Linked DNA regions of Nothobranchius furzeri. The main gene of each other region encodes a partner of the protein of the gene in region 2 in a complex. Links are inferred from orthologs where the notes say so. Each region holds a gene or a part of one and is shown on either strand. Other genes may lie near its edges.

The links.
Region 1: eif3i (region 2) and eif3f share a complex: the UniProt entries of both Homo sapiens proteins name them as parts of the eukaryotic translation initiation factor 3 (eIF-3) complex. The link is inferred for Nothobranchius furzeri from reciprocal best matches to the Homo sapiens genes EIF3I and EIF3F.

The regions. Positions count from the first base shown.
Region 1 is NC_091751.1:40,243,913-40,251,233, forward strand, and holds the end of eif3f (eukaryotic translation initiation factor 3 subunit F), read left to right. Parts: intron 1-2,994; coding exon 2,995-3,074; intron 3,075-3,262; coding exon 3,263-3,400; intron 3,401-3,475; coding exon 3,476-3,567; intron 3,568-3,648; coding exon 3,649-3,785; intron 3,786-3,925; coding exon 3,926-4,039; intron 4,040-4,167; coding exon 4,168-4,245; 3' UTR 4,246-4,317; downstream 4,318-7,321. Other genes in the region: MICOS complex subunit MIC26, read right to left, coding at 4,784-5,398; dnaaf6 (dynein axonemal assembly factor 6), read left to right, coding at 5,793-5,882, 5,999-6,062, 6,145-6,247, 6,446-6,542, 6,637-6,722. UniProt on the Homo sapiens protein: Component of the eukaryotic translation initiation factor 3 (eIF-3) complex, which is required for several steps in the initiation of protein synthesis.
Region 2 is NC_091751.1:3,239,689-3,246,694, forward strand, and holds the start of eif3i (eukaryotic translation initiation factor 3 subunit I), read left to right. Parts: upstream 1-1,328; 5' UTR 1,329-1,465; coding exon 1,466-1,468; intron 1,469-1,776; coding exon 1,777-1,869; intron 1,870-1,961; coding exon 1,962-2,049; intron 2,050-2,126; coding exon 2,127-2,192; intron 2,193-2,311; coding exon 2,312-2,461; intron 2,462-7,006. UniProt on the Homo sapiens protein: Component of the eukaryotic translation initiation factor 3 (eIF-3) complex, which is required for several steps in the initiation of protein synthesis.

The DNA of each region.
Region 1 (7,321 bases), about 37 Mb from region 2:
GGGAGGAGGCTTTGGTTCATTTTAAGTTACGGGAGATCTTGTATGATCTGCTCCTCCAGAGACGGCATGGACATGAGGGTTACATGGTGAGGGTCCCACAGGACAGGTTAGTGCAGTCACACAGCTGAGCTGGAGAGGGACAGGTGTTCTTAAAGTTAAAGTCCCATTAGTTGTCACACACACAGGTGTGTGTGCGAAATTTGTTCTCCGCATTTGACCCATCCCCTGGGGGAGCAGTGAACTGCAGACACAGCCGCGCTCGGGAACTATTTGGTGGTTCAACCCCCCAATCCAACCCCTTAATGCTGAGTGTCAAGCAGGGAGGCATTGGGTCCCATTTTTTCTAAGTCTTTGGTATGACCCGGCCAGGAATCAAACCCTGATCTCCCAGTCTCAGGGCGGACACTCTACCTCTAGGCCGCTGAGAAAGGTACTTCTTTATGTTGCAAGCTTGTGTGTTATGTGCATCACAGCCAGCGATCCAAACAGCAGCCCCCCCCCCCCCCCCCCCCCCCCCCAAAAATCCGGCCCTCTTGCTTCTGGGTCTTTTTTGTGAGTAGCCCTCGGACCGTTATAACTGAGGACCCCTGTACGGTGTAGATGATTATTGATGTTGCAGTATTGAAAATGTAATAACATGGTAATATTGACATGAGCAGTAGCAATAATGCAAAGGCTTCCAACAAATGACAAACTCAAGCTGCAAACAACTGTCCTAAATCCCTACATGTAGTGTTGATAGTGTCATAAGATAACGTGGGTGTATCACAACCGATATTGTCATTAAATAATAATATGACCTGTGCTGCCCTCATCATTATTTCCACTTGTACCATCAGCATCATCACCACTACTGCCTTGATAAACTGCTATGTAGAAAACAAATGTGACCTGGTTCTTCTATGTAACAGCTGCTCTGTCTGCTGAGGTTTGTAGTCCAGGAACGGTTCGGCAAAAACATCTCATGAAATTCTGTTCACAATATTATCGCTCTCTTCTCTTAGCATTGGATTTTACCATGAACTCACATTTCCTTTTGATGGTTGAGGTCAAACTTAAACATGCACACACACACACACACACACACACACACACACACACACACACACACACACACACACACACAAACATTTACACACACATCCATACACGGCCATAAAATTAAGCTAACAGTGAAACATTTGTAAGCACTTATCTATGAATAAAACTATATCTATAAAAGGAGGATATCAATTAGAAATAATACAGCCTAACCATATGCTTGTTCCAATAAAAAAGTTTTAAATTTATCTTCAAAATAATTTCTCTTAAAAATACTACTACTGTGACCATGTAGATAATTATTGTGAATCAACATGCCTTCTCCGGGTCAGGGAGAAGGTCCTGCCTCAAGTGGAGAAGTTTAAAGAGCAAGTCACCTCCAACCAGAGTCTTAAGGTTGGTTTATGCTTGATGCGTCCGCGAGGTCCGCACGGAAAAGTTGCGTCATTTTAACAACCACGCCCCTCCACCGCGCCTCCGCACGGCCCAGAATTTCCGCAATGCGCACCTCGGAAAATTTCTAACCACGCGGACGGACGGACGCGGAAAAACATGGCGGACCGGCAAGAACTAGTATGGCAGAGGTTCGTAAACACAGACATTTGTATGATTCAGCTCTCAGAGATCACCGTGATCAACATGTTGTTAATAACTCTTGGAGAGAAATAGCTCGCACTGTCGGAAAAGACGAGGACGCTGGTAAAAATGCTGAAATGCCATGTTGTAAACAGTAATTTCTACTTCTACTATGGTGTAGTGTTGGATGCATGCCGTAGAGCTCCATGCTGCCCCGTTCAGTTTGGGAGAATATTGACTCACCGCAGAGACGAGCCGCATGAACCATAAAAGCTGCAAGTTGTGAAGCTCGTTCCATCCGCGAGCCGCATCACCAAGCGGAAAGTGAATGCGTCAAGCATAAACCAAGCTTTACTCCACTCCCACTTCCTGTTTAAAAAAATGCAACAAATGCTGTTGCCTAGCAGACCGAGAGGGCGGAGCCACTAACAAATACACACACACAGGCTCACAACAACATTGTGACATAATAGTGTGCCAGCTAACATCATAGTGTACCTCTTTGCCAATAGCGATGGCAGATTTTAATTCAAATGCAGAGTTTTTACCTGAAGAGGGCACAACGACAGTTATAGGCAGAAGATTTAAAGTTTAATTAAGATGCACTACAGTGCCAAAATATTAACAACACGTGTCTACATCATGATTAGACAGTCGTTTATGTAGTTTATCAGCAAAAAAAGGGTTGATTTGGGGGTGACTTGCTCTGGAGGTATCTCAGGGTCTTGTTCTCTAGTGAGGGAAAGTTGGAGCGCGAGATCGACAGGCAGATATGTGCTGCACCTGCAGTGCTGCAGGCGTTGTACTAATCTGTCGTGGTGAAGAGAGCTTCGCCATCTGGCTCAGCTCTCGAATTATCGGTCAATCTACGTTCCTACCCTCACCTATGCTCACGAGCTTTGGGTTGTGACCGAAAGAACGAGATCGCAGATACAAGCGGTCAAAAAGAGTTTTCTCTGCAGGGTGGCTGGGCCCTCCCTTAGAGACAGGGTGAGAAGCTTGGTCATCCAGGAGGGGCTCAGAGTAGATTCGCTGCTCCTTCCCATTGAGAGGAGCCAGTTGAGGTGGCTCAGGCATCTGATTAGGATGCCTCCTGGACTCCTCCCTGGTGAGGTTTTCCAGGCACGTCCAACCGGGAGGAGACCTAAAGGTAGACCCAGGACACGGTGGAGGGACTATGTCTCTCGCCTGGCCAGGGAGCGCCTTGGGATTCCCCCGGAGGAGCTGGCCCAAGTGGCCGGGGAGGGGGAAGTCTGAACCTCTCGACTTAGGCTGCTGCCCCCACGACCCGACTCTGGATAAGTTGAAGAAAATGGAATAACATTCTTTCCAAAGGCTGTTGAGTAAAGATTTGGTCATTATTTTCTCTGATGGCAGGTTGCTGTGGACATGGAGTTTGCCAAGAACATGTATGAGCTTCACAAGAGGGTGTCACCCACTGAGGTCATCATTGGATGGTATGTCCGCTGCTTATATATATATATATATATATATATATATATATATATATATATATATATATATATATATATATATATATATATATATATATATATATATATATATATATATATATATATATATATATATATATTTTATATTAAAGAGAAGCCAAATTCTTGAACAAATGCACTCTTCCTGACAGGTATGCCACAGGGTTCGACATCACTGAACACTCTGTTCTCATCCACGAGTACTACAGCCGTGAGGCCACCAACCCCATTCACCTGACAGTGGACACGGCGCTGCAAAGCGGCAAAATGAACATCCGCGCTTACGTCAGGTCATCTGAGCTTCCTGTCCATGAATCTTTTAATGTGATCAACAGTGAGAGTGACCCTGTGTGTGTGTCTTTTAGTGCCCAGATGGGTGTACCAGGAAAAACAGTTGGTGTTATGTTCACCCCACTGACTGTCAAGTACATCCACTATGACACAGAGAGGATAGGAAGTAAGAGTGCCGAGAATAAATAAAATAACGGCCTCGTTTTAGTAGATTTTAACCGTACTTCATACTCCGTGTGTGTTCCAGTGGATCTGTTACAGAGGACACGTTTGGCTACCACACGTACCAAGGGCCTGACCTCTGACCTGTCTCAGGTGGGTGGTGCTGCAGCCAGGATACAGGACATGCTGACCACTGTTCTCGCATACATCGAGGACGTACTGGTGAGTGAACTTTAAAAATAAACTATTATTTACACCTTTATACTAATTAATTTAGTGTTTTAAGTCATTGTAGAAAACGTTTAGTTGGTGTTGATTAAAACGCTGATCATGGCTGTAAGATTAAGGTTGGTTTGTCTCAGTCAGGAAAAGTGACAGCAGATAACAGCGTGGGCCGCTTCCTCATGGACCTGGTCAACAAGGTGCCGACCATCTCAGCTGAGGACTTTGAGAACATGCTTAATTCCAACATCAACGTAAGAGATCCTCAACTGTACTGACTTCAGTTAGACCTTGCATTTGCCTTACCTCTATTGTCCCTTTGCATTACTGTAAATATGTTGCTTATTCTGGTGTAATCATGTAAATACTGTCATTGCTGCAGGACCTGCTGATGGTGACCTACCTGTCCAACCTGACCCAAGCACAGATTGCCCTAAACGAGAAGCTGGTGCTGCTCTGAGGACATTTCTGTAGATCATATTTAATTTTTTTTTTTAATTTTGGCCGAGAGAAATAAAGATGTTACCAGTCATTTATTTGTTTTCATTGGCACTGCCTTAGGTGAGTTTGTGACAACAAAACATGCAAAATGGGAACTAGTATTCAAAAGAATGATCATTTATTCATTTAAAACATGTTGCTTGTTTTACAGCTCATGGTTTTGGGATTTCCAAGATGTAGTTTAACTTATCAAAAACAATCATAAGTCAGGTTCCTATTACAGAACCAGAACAGCTTTCGTTTTCTTTGGTCTCTACTCAAACTTCACAAAGCAAACCAGAAAAATGTGTTAAAACCTGATTTTTAATCAAAGCCCCACAGATTCATTTTTTACTTAAATATACAATCAGAGGTTAATTATTCAAGTAGCAGGTCCAGTATGTGACAGGGCATGGCCGGCCTGAGTAACAGCAAAGTGCAGAGAGGGACTCTAACCCTAGCCCTAAAGCCAGTCCTGTCACCACCAGGCTGGTATTGCTGAGCAGCTGAACATAAGCCTACGGGTTGCGTTTAGATTTGTCCCCGTTTGCATCCTTGCTTTGAGGGTTTTTCAGGATCTTCTCTAGCGCAGCGTAGCTCCGCACCGCGCTGTCGTAGACGGAGTCTCCGGTTGACTTTGCGATGGCTGCCGCCTGCTCTGGGTAGTAAAGGGAGGCGCTTACGGCCATGAAACCCGCCGGGTAGAGGAGCTTCTTCACCCTGGAGCCTCTGGCCAGAAACAAGCCGAGCATTCCGGCAAAGCCGATGATTCCCGCCCGAGGATAGAAGTCCTTCGGAGGTTTCTGCAGACAAGCGTAGGCGTCACTCCCGAACTGGACGACCTTCTGAACTTTGGGTTTAATTTTGTCGAAGGTGCCCGAACACCAAGCCGAGTATGGCTCTGCTAGCTTCCTGAAGGTGGCGACACGCTCCTCCAGCTGCCCGGCTTCGGGCTCCGCATACCGACGGTTCTGCTGAGGAGCCGCGTACAGAGACAGTTCGTCCAGGCTCAACGGCGCCGTTGTCTCCTTTTCTCCGCCACCGGCAGCCCCAGCAGCAAAAACGGTGAAAGGTGGCAGTTGAGGCGCTCCCGGCATGGCTCTCTGTCTGTCACCTTGAACAAGGCCATGCATTCACTACGGCAACTGCGGAGGGGCATTACACGTGACGCCTTCTTGAGAAATTTGACGAACCGCGAAACTTTCAAATGTAACATCAGGTATATACATAAAATGAAATTATTCAATTGGGAAAATTATAGCCAACATTAAATAGCATTTTTACGCAGCTGTAGTCACAATAGCAAATACAGGATATAGAAATCCCCATCTCCCCGTTTCTTGAAGTGTCTGGTGGTTGCCAGGGCAACCGGATAGCCTCGTCGCCAGAAACCGTCAACACTGACCTCTCAAACGTCCGTTTAGCCGGTTATAAGCTGAAGTTCTAAACTAAGTTTGTTATATAAGCATTTGCATTTGTAGATGTTGTGGTTTGAGGTGTTTTTTTGAAAGGATTTAAGCTTTCCCAATGGCGTATCTTGGAGGATCATCTGCGCAGGACCTACTGGCTCTGTCTGCACTGTTATCCAAACAGGAGGAGGAAGATGAAAACTATAAAGTAAAAGTTTAAAATTCACAACCGTTTTGTAGTAATTCATACCGACTGTACTAACTGCCTGCATAATTCTTATATTTAGATTTGAGCTAAAATACTAGAAATTATATTTTCACCAGAATGCGGATGCCTGTGCACAGCTTGGCCCTGGACACATCGGACCTCCGCCAAAAACAGATGAAGGTGAGTTGTTTACTTGTAGTTCTCTACATTTATTCTGAATTATAGCAGTACACAAACTATTTCAGCCTGTTTTGCTGTTTAGCTTCAAGTTCCAACATGAAGAACTGCAAAGCAATCTGGAGTGAAGAAGAGGTGGCTGAGGGGGCCCATTATGATGATGTGGTAGATCCACGGCCTCAACCAGAGTAAGACAATAGTAATAGTTGGATAGGGAGGGTGGGTGAAGCATTTTTCTAACACACAATGGCAGAGTGGCTGGGATAAAGCTGGGGTTGAACCTGGTCTACCTCCTGGACCACCGAATTTAAAGAAGGCAGGCCCTTTCTTCATTTGATGGGACATTTTGAGAACAAGAAAGGCAGTTTTGTTATGTCTGTGTGCAGATATGAAATTATCCTGAAGCAGAATGTGGGAACCGAGGACCTGTTCTTAGGATTAAGCAGGAAGAATCCATCGTCCATGTGCTGTGAGGCAATGCAGGTATGTCATCAAACTTCTATTTGACAGAAGAAATCAAAATGCACAAAGGCTATGACATTCAGTTTCTTCATAAATACTTTTCTCCCACATTCAGGTGAAAATCAAACTACCAGACACTAAAGCAACAGATGTCTTTTTAGATCTTAAAGAAACGTTTCTTGATCTGCGAACACCAAAATAGTAAGAGATCATTTGAAAATGTTCACTTTCATTTTCCGGTGACTGAGCAGCTGCAGTTCAGTCTTGAAGCTCCCCTGTCTAGGTATTTGATTAAAGGTGTGAAACACTGAAATTTTTTTAATCTTATTTCTGATTATAACTCTAAGATTTTCATGCAGGCTGAACATAAAAATAGTCTCCTACACCAATCTCCTGCTTTAGCTTCTGATAGAAAACAGTTGAAATGACTAGAAAATCCTGACAGCTCTACGTCACACGGTCACTTATCATTGACGCACTCGCATATCTTGTCTTATGACGGGGAAGGCTGTTGTTGGTTCAACACCCAGGAAACAGCAGAGAACGTCTTGGCTAGTAGAAGCTAACTGTTAGCATGAGCAACTACACCACACAGCAGAAGCTCCTCCAGGCTTTTGTTATCAGATAAAACATCAGCATTGGAGTCAGTGGTAGAGTCGCTTTGCTGTTATCCAATAGGTGAGCTGTCCAGATATCAGGAAGGGTCCAAATCCTACTGTCTGAAGCTCAGCTGTGATGTAACTCACCTCTACTTCCTAAAATTGGTGCACCTGAGGATTTCTTCCCCAGAGCACAACTTA
Region 2 (7,006 bases):
GTAAATCCTGGATTATTAAAGAACGTTTTAGAACTAAAACGTTTGAACTCTTATTCATTTGTGTAGTGTTTAAATGTGAGTCTGTATTTATTGTTGAAATCATACAGTCACTGATATCGGGGGTTAAAATAAAGGATATTTTCATTTAAGCTGATCATTTTCATTCATTTTACTCCAAATTTGTCATCCTTACCTCTCCTGGGTTATGTTGCACATTACCAGTTTAGTTATTAGTATTAGCACTTTTATCTCATTTAACTCCATCTTTGTTCCGTGTGTGTGTGGGATGTACCTGTTTATATCTGTGATGGTCCTGGGAACGGCAAAGGCTTCTGGTCAGGTTTATTCTAAAGAATGTCAAAGTTCCTCTATGCAACGCTTGCATCTTGGTTTTATTCTGTGGCCTCGACCCACGAGCACTTAGCTGAGAATGTAATCTCATCATATCCACTGTTCTGCATAAATGTGTCGGGGACGACATATCTCACAGTTTAAGGCCTTTTTCTTCCAAGGGGTTGATACTTTTACATTGGGTGCTTTTGAAATGTGCATTGATCTGAGCCAAGTGAGAAAACTGAGAGGAGAAGTCTAATTTGATTTGGTTTCCTCCAAACACACGCCTGTTTCCCCTGTGCACTACATATGTAGTTTCGACAAAGCAATGCCATCCGAAACAGAAATGCAAATGTTTTTCAGTCTACCATAGGATGTATTCACTGTACTGTTTACTTTTCATATAAACCAAAGATGTCTCCCTGTTGTAGTTTATCTTTTGCAGTATGTTATTTTCTGGCCCTGATTTTAAATAAAATTAGAGTATGTCTGATTTTCTGGCAGATTATTTTTTACAGTGAATTATTTGTGTCATAATGAGAATTTTGAGAACTATGGAGATAATTTATTGTGATTTTTGAGATTTTGTGTCACCATATTTCCAGAATGAAGGGCACAGGACTAATTTTTCTTTTTAAATACTGTATTTGATGACCTTCAAAAAGAATCCAATAAAATCACTGTCAGAAAAGTAAATTTAAGTGACAGAAACTAAACGTAATAAAAGAAACTGGTGAGGAAGGAGTGGTTTCGTGACTGACAGAAATGCAAAATGATTTACAACTTATACAGGAGGGTGGCATGTTATCATACATTATGTTGATAAATATCATGTATGTAGCAGTATTCGGGATTAAATATTCACAAATGAGCTGATAAGGAGCAGGACTGAAACGAGCACAAGTTTGGGATCAAATTACTTTATTTTCTAGATTCCAGAAAGTCCTTCATACCACATTTGTCCAGGAGGGGGCGGCAGGTCGTCCATCTGCGGTTAATACCATCGAAGAAGAAAATGGAAGCCTTCTCTTCCGCCACAGCTCCGGTGTCTGACACATGAGGGTTTAACTTTTCTCCCATTGTGAGGCGCAGCAAATTGACTAAAGCATCTGGAAACACCTAGCTGACGACAATGGTTGGTATATTTATTTACAAGGCAATGTTTACCTGGCGGTTTTCAGTTTTTGTTCTTTAGCTTGTCGCTGTAGTTTGGGGTTTTACTTTGTCTGTTGTGGCTAGCTATAGCTTTTCACGTTAGCTAATGTACATATTCATTTTGGCAGAAGTCTTGAGTTAGCTAAGCTATGAAAGAGATTTCTGTGACTCGTATAGTGTTGGTGCTTTACGCCTAGGCAAGTCAAAGCTACGTTATTCTTTCTTTTTTCAATTAAAACAGTCATGTGTAAATGCTAGCTTAATCTGAACCGTTATCGGTGTTTCTAGAAACCCATTTTGCTCCAGGGCCACGAGAGGTCCATCACACAAATCAAATACAACAGAGAAGGAGATCTGCTCTTCTCGGTGGCTAAAGATACAGTGAGTTGGTACACACTCGCTCTTCTGTCGGATCATTCAACACGACGTTTGGGAGCAGCCAAACTCATCCCTGCTGTTCTGCTGCTATCCAGGTTGCCAACGCGTGGTACTCTGTGAACGGAGAGAGGCTCGGGACCTACAATGGACACACCGGAGCTGTGTGGTGTGTTGACTGTGACTGTATCCTTTGCACCTCTGCCTAATGTAAGCTAGGGGTGTCTGTCAGTGAAGTTAGGCATCTTAACTAGTTGTCTCAGGGGACACAAAGAACGTGTTAACAGGATCAGCAGACAACAGCTGCAGGCTGTGGGACTGTGAGACTGGTAAGTAAACCTTAACAATGTGCTTTTCCAAAGAGGTGGACATGATTTTTAGGGTATTGGGATAGTTTGTAAACCTGACATCATGCTGTCTAAATGACATCTTTAATGTGTTTTCACAGGTAAACAGCTGGCTCTGCTCAACACCAACTCTGCCGTCAGGACGTGTGGGTTCGACTTCAGCGGCAACATCATCATGTTCTCCACCGACAAGCAGATGGGTTACCAGTGCTTCCTGAACTTCTTTGACCTGAGGGATCCACAGCAAATAGGTAAACATTAAATGCGCAAACACACACACGCACACATGTTCTGCAATGGTGTGGCCACAGTATATGGACTGGATATATACCATTTTAAACAAACTTTCTTACACTTTTTGCAATTTTTAATGTCAGTCAGACACCTAAATAAAGTTAATTTAGACCAATCCTGGTCCTGGAGGGCCGGTATCCTGCATGTTTTAGTTTGAACTCTGTTTCAATACTCCTGATTTCAATCAGCAGCTAATTAGCGGTCTTTTGCAGCGCCTGATGAGCTGCTGCACAGGTGTTTCAACCACTGAATCAAGTCTGTAGGAGCAGAAAAACCACAAAACCTGTTGGATACCGGTGTCGGCACAGGATCTGCTCGGGTGCAAAATTGGCTCAGGGTCCGTCGACTGCCGATGACGTCTAAGTAGTTGATTGGCTGCACATGAACCTTACGGAATTACGTAATCACGTTACGTTGTTATCACGTTACGTTGGTCCAGGCAAATCTTTCTGTTGGAAAGATGGACAACTTTTACAAAGAAATCCATCATTACCTCTTTGAAAATACACTTTGAGCATAGAGCTGCATGTATATTAGGGCTGAACGATTAACTGCATGTGTAATTAAATTGCGATGTGACAAAAGGAGATTTTCTAATCGCAAAGGCTGCAATTTGGCAGCGAGTGGTTAGCGCAATGCTAATATACATGGAAAAACCCATAGGAATGCTAATGCTAATATCGCCGATTACATGATCAAATTATGAATTAGAAACGTGCCAAATGATTACATTTGGAGTCTAATAGAAAGTAAAAATACCATCAATCAAATAAGTACAGACAGGTATTTTAGTAAAGCCAGAAAACTTTTAACTCCAGAGTTTTGGCTAGCAGCTATGAGCGTAATGAACTACGCATGGACAAGACGTCAAAAACTCTAAACACAAAATACTTCAATAAATGGGACACACTTCTTTCCTGCAAATACAATTTCACAGGTGTTGCTAATACCTATGATTCTTCAAGGGATGTGCTCAAAGAGGAGTTCAACATCATGACTACAATATAGTGTTTTATTTTACAAATACCATTATAAACACAAACTTACGTCTTAAGAAACATTATTTTAATAAGGAAACTGCTAAATTCTTTCCAACAGTATAGATGTGTACTGTATTTTGTCCGAGTGGGTTTGCCGTACTTTGACGTCATCGGCAGTCGAAGGACCCCGAGCCGATCTTGTACCGACACCGGCCCTCCAGGACCAGGATTGGGCACCCCTGATTTAGAGTATTTATTATGCAGATGTTATTAGTGAATGTTGGGGAAAAAATTTGAATTAAATTCTGCAACAGCACCAGGGTGACTATAGATGTGCCTGACTTTAAATCAGCTTTACTAAGAAAAAACAGCCGATGAATAAAAAACTAAACATTGGCCAACCAATATAATCGGTCCACCCCTAATTCACTCATTCCTTTATTCCATGTAGCAGCTCAGTGGTCACTGTTTTTCAAAATTGCATTGATTCATGTACCAGACTATTAGACGAAGAAATAAGTTAAGATCGTCTAGCCTAGTGAACTAGACCAAATTCTTGCCTTGTAATGTTTGGTGTGGGAACGCTCCACCGGAACTTCTGAGGCCTCCTAGCAGCATTCTGGCAGATGTGTTTTAGTCTTTTATTTAGAAAAAGGATGTATTTTTGCCGCCTTCAACGGCAGACATCCTTGTTTACAGAGGTTGCGGTGAGTACTCCACGTTGTTCGTTGTCCAGTAGGGTGCAATGATTGTTTGAAAGACAACGGTAGAACCCGCCCCACGACAGGCAATGGAACATTAAATAATATTATGGATTTAGTCTGGCGTGCCAGGCTAAAGAACATCCAAAATATCTCAATTTAGAGACTATTTTAAGCTAAAGAAGGTCATAAAAGTGCCAACTATGCTTCTGTTGAAACACACGTAGATTTCCTCAATAACACGTGTGCAGCAACTTTTCCCACACTGAAACATTTCAAAATGAATTGACATGTTTTGTGCACGTGTCCTGAATCAAGTTGAAGATGGTGTGATGTAGGGTCGTCACGGTGTGAAAATGTAGCCTCGCGGTTATCGTAACCAAAATGAAAACGGTATTATCGCGGTATTTTTTTAAACGTGTTACATTTTCAGACAACTAAATAAACCCTGTATGTCAGGAAAATATTGTCCTCAGTTTGTGTCTAAATTTTGCCTAAAACGTGTTATTTTGTAATTATGTTGTTTATTTGTTTACATTTTTCCCCTTTAGTCTTTAAAATACCAATATTTGCCCATAACTTCAAAATTTTTTGTCTGTTTGATGTCATCATTTTAAAAATATTAGACCAGATGATACTCAGTACTCAAGTAGCCTTCTAATCAGATACCGTATTTTCACGACCATAGGGCGCACCGGGTTATAGGGCGCGGGCATGGGCACGTTCAAACGTACCGGTGTCGGTACAGGATCTGCTCGGGTGCAAGATCGGCTCGGGGTCCTTTGACTGCCGATGACGTCAAAGTACGGCAAACCGACTCGGACAAAATACACTACACATCTATACTGTTGGAAAGAATTTAGCAGTTTCGTTATTAAAATAATGTTTCTTAAGACGTAAGTTTGTGTTTATAATGGTATTTGTAAAATAAAACACTATATTGTATTCATAATGTTGAACTCCTCTTTGAGCACATCCCTTGAAGAATCATAGGTATTAGCAACACCTGTGAAATTGTATTTGCAGGAAAGAAGTGTGTCCCGTTTATTGAAGTATTTTGTGTTTAGAGTTTTTGACGTCTTGTCCATGCGTAGTTCAGTTACGCTCATAGCTGCTAGCCAAAACTCTGGAGTTAAAAGTTTTCTGGCTTTACTAAAATACCTGTCTGTACTTATTTGATTGATGGTATTTTTTACTTTCTACTAGACTCTAAATGTAATCATTTGGCACGTTTCTAATTCATAATTTGTAATAATGTAATCGGCGATATTAGCATTAGCATTCCTATGGGTTTTTCCATGTATATTAGCATTGCGCTAACCACTCGCTGCCAAATTGCAGCCTTTGAGATTAGAAAATCTCCTTTTGTCACATCGCAATTTAATTGCACATGCAGTTAATCGTTCAGCCCTAATATACATGCAGCTCTATGCTAAAAGTGTATTTTCAAAGAGGTAATGATGGATTTCTTTGTAAAAGTTGTCCATCTTTCCAATAGAAAGATTTGCCTGGACCAACGTAACGTGATAACAACGTAACGTGATTACGTAATTCCGTGAGGTTCATGTTCAGCCAATCAACTACTTAGACATCATCGGCAGTCGACGGACCCCGAGCCGATCTTGCACCCGAGCAGATCCTGTACCGACACTGGTAAAACATTGTGCGGGCTCGGAGCATATCAGTGCAAACCAGACATTGTGAAAATTATAAACAGCCAAATAATGCTTCACTTTACTGGTCTAGTCCTGGTTTAGAGCGCACGTGCACTTCCTCATTGCGTGTGCTGACGGCTCGTGCTCTTCTAATGGGCTCGACACACGGGAGGCAACTTTGCCTCTCCATTCATTTTCAATGAGACACGCGCGACAAAGCGATAATCGCGTGTCTCCCTCCTGTTACAGCCGGGCGTACACCGGGTGTTCTAAGTACAACCAATGTAATAAAAATGACTCAACGTTCTTCAGCTCAAGAGGTGTCGTGTTTATTTCTCAGCCCGCCGAACTCCTTCTAAACTCCTCCCACTTCAGGCAAGTCTTAAAGGCATACACACTGTATCTATTCACATGACATCTCCCCTCCTTTGAGTCAGAGACGGTGTAAACAGAGTATGTGAAAGAACAAAGTACATCTTTTCCTCAAAGCATTGGAACCCTCTGCAACAGCAACCGACAGTAGGAACATAACATAGATGCTTTTAACCAAAGAGTCAATCACAATAATTACAAACGATCACCCAACACTTTTTTTTTTTTCTTTCTTTTACATGAGAGAAAAAAAAATGGAGGCAACAGGCAACCATACATGCGTCGTTGGGGTGATGGGGTGGACTACCCAAACACCCTTATAGCGGCCGGAGGTTATTCTGCTCCATTTAGGCCGGCTATACGGTTCAATAACAAACAAAGTCCTTGAGCCTCCTGGGGGGCCAAATGACTCTGCCTGTAGAAGACATCCGAGCTGATCCTGGAGGACAATCAGAAAGGCCTGCTGGGACGGTCCCTTGGGCAGGCGAAACAGACTCTTCAGTAGGTGAGGCAGCCCCTCTAACCGGGGAGCCTAAAGGTGTGGGTTGGGGTGTTGATGATGGTGGTGGTGGCTGATCTGCCACACCAGGAAGGAATATTGGTCGTAGATGGCGCCGGTTCCTCCGCAGTGTCCCATGTTCTGTCTGGATCAGGTAGGACCTCGGAGCTGGATGTGGTTGTTGGACCGTTGCCACAGATGTCCAGCCAGAATCACCATCAAGTTTCACCGCCACATCCTGCCCAGGTGTAAGGGGTGGGAGTGCTCTGGCACCATGGCGTCGGTTGTAGGCACG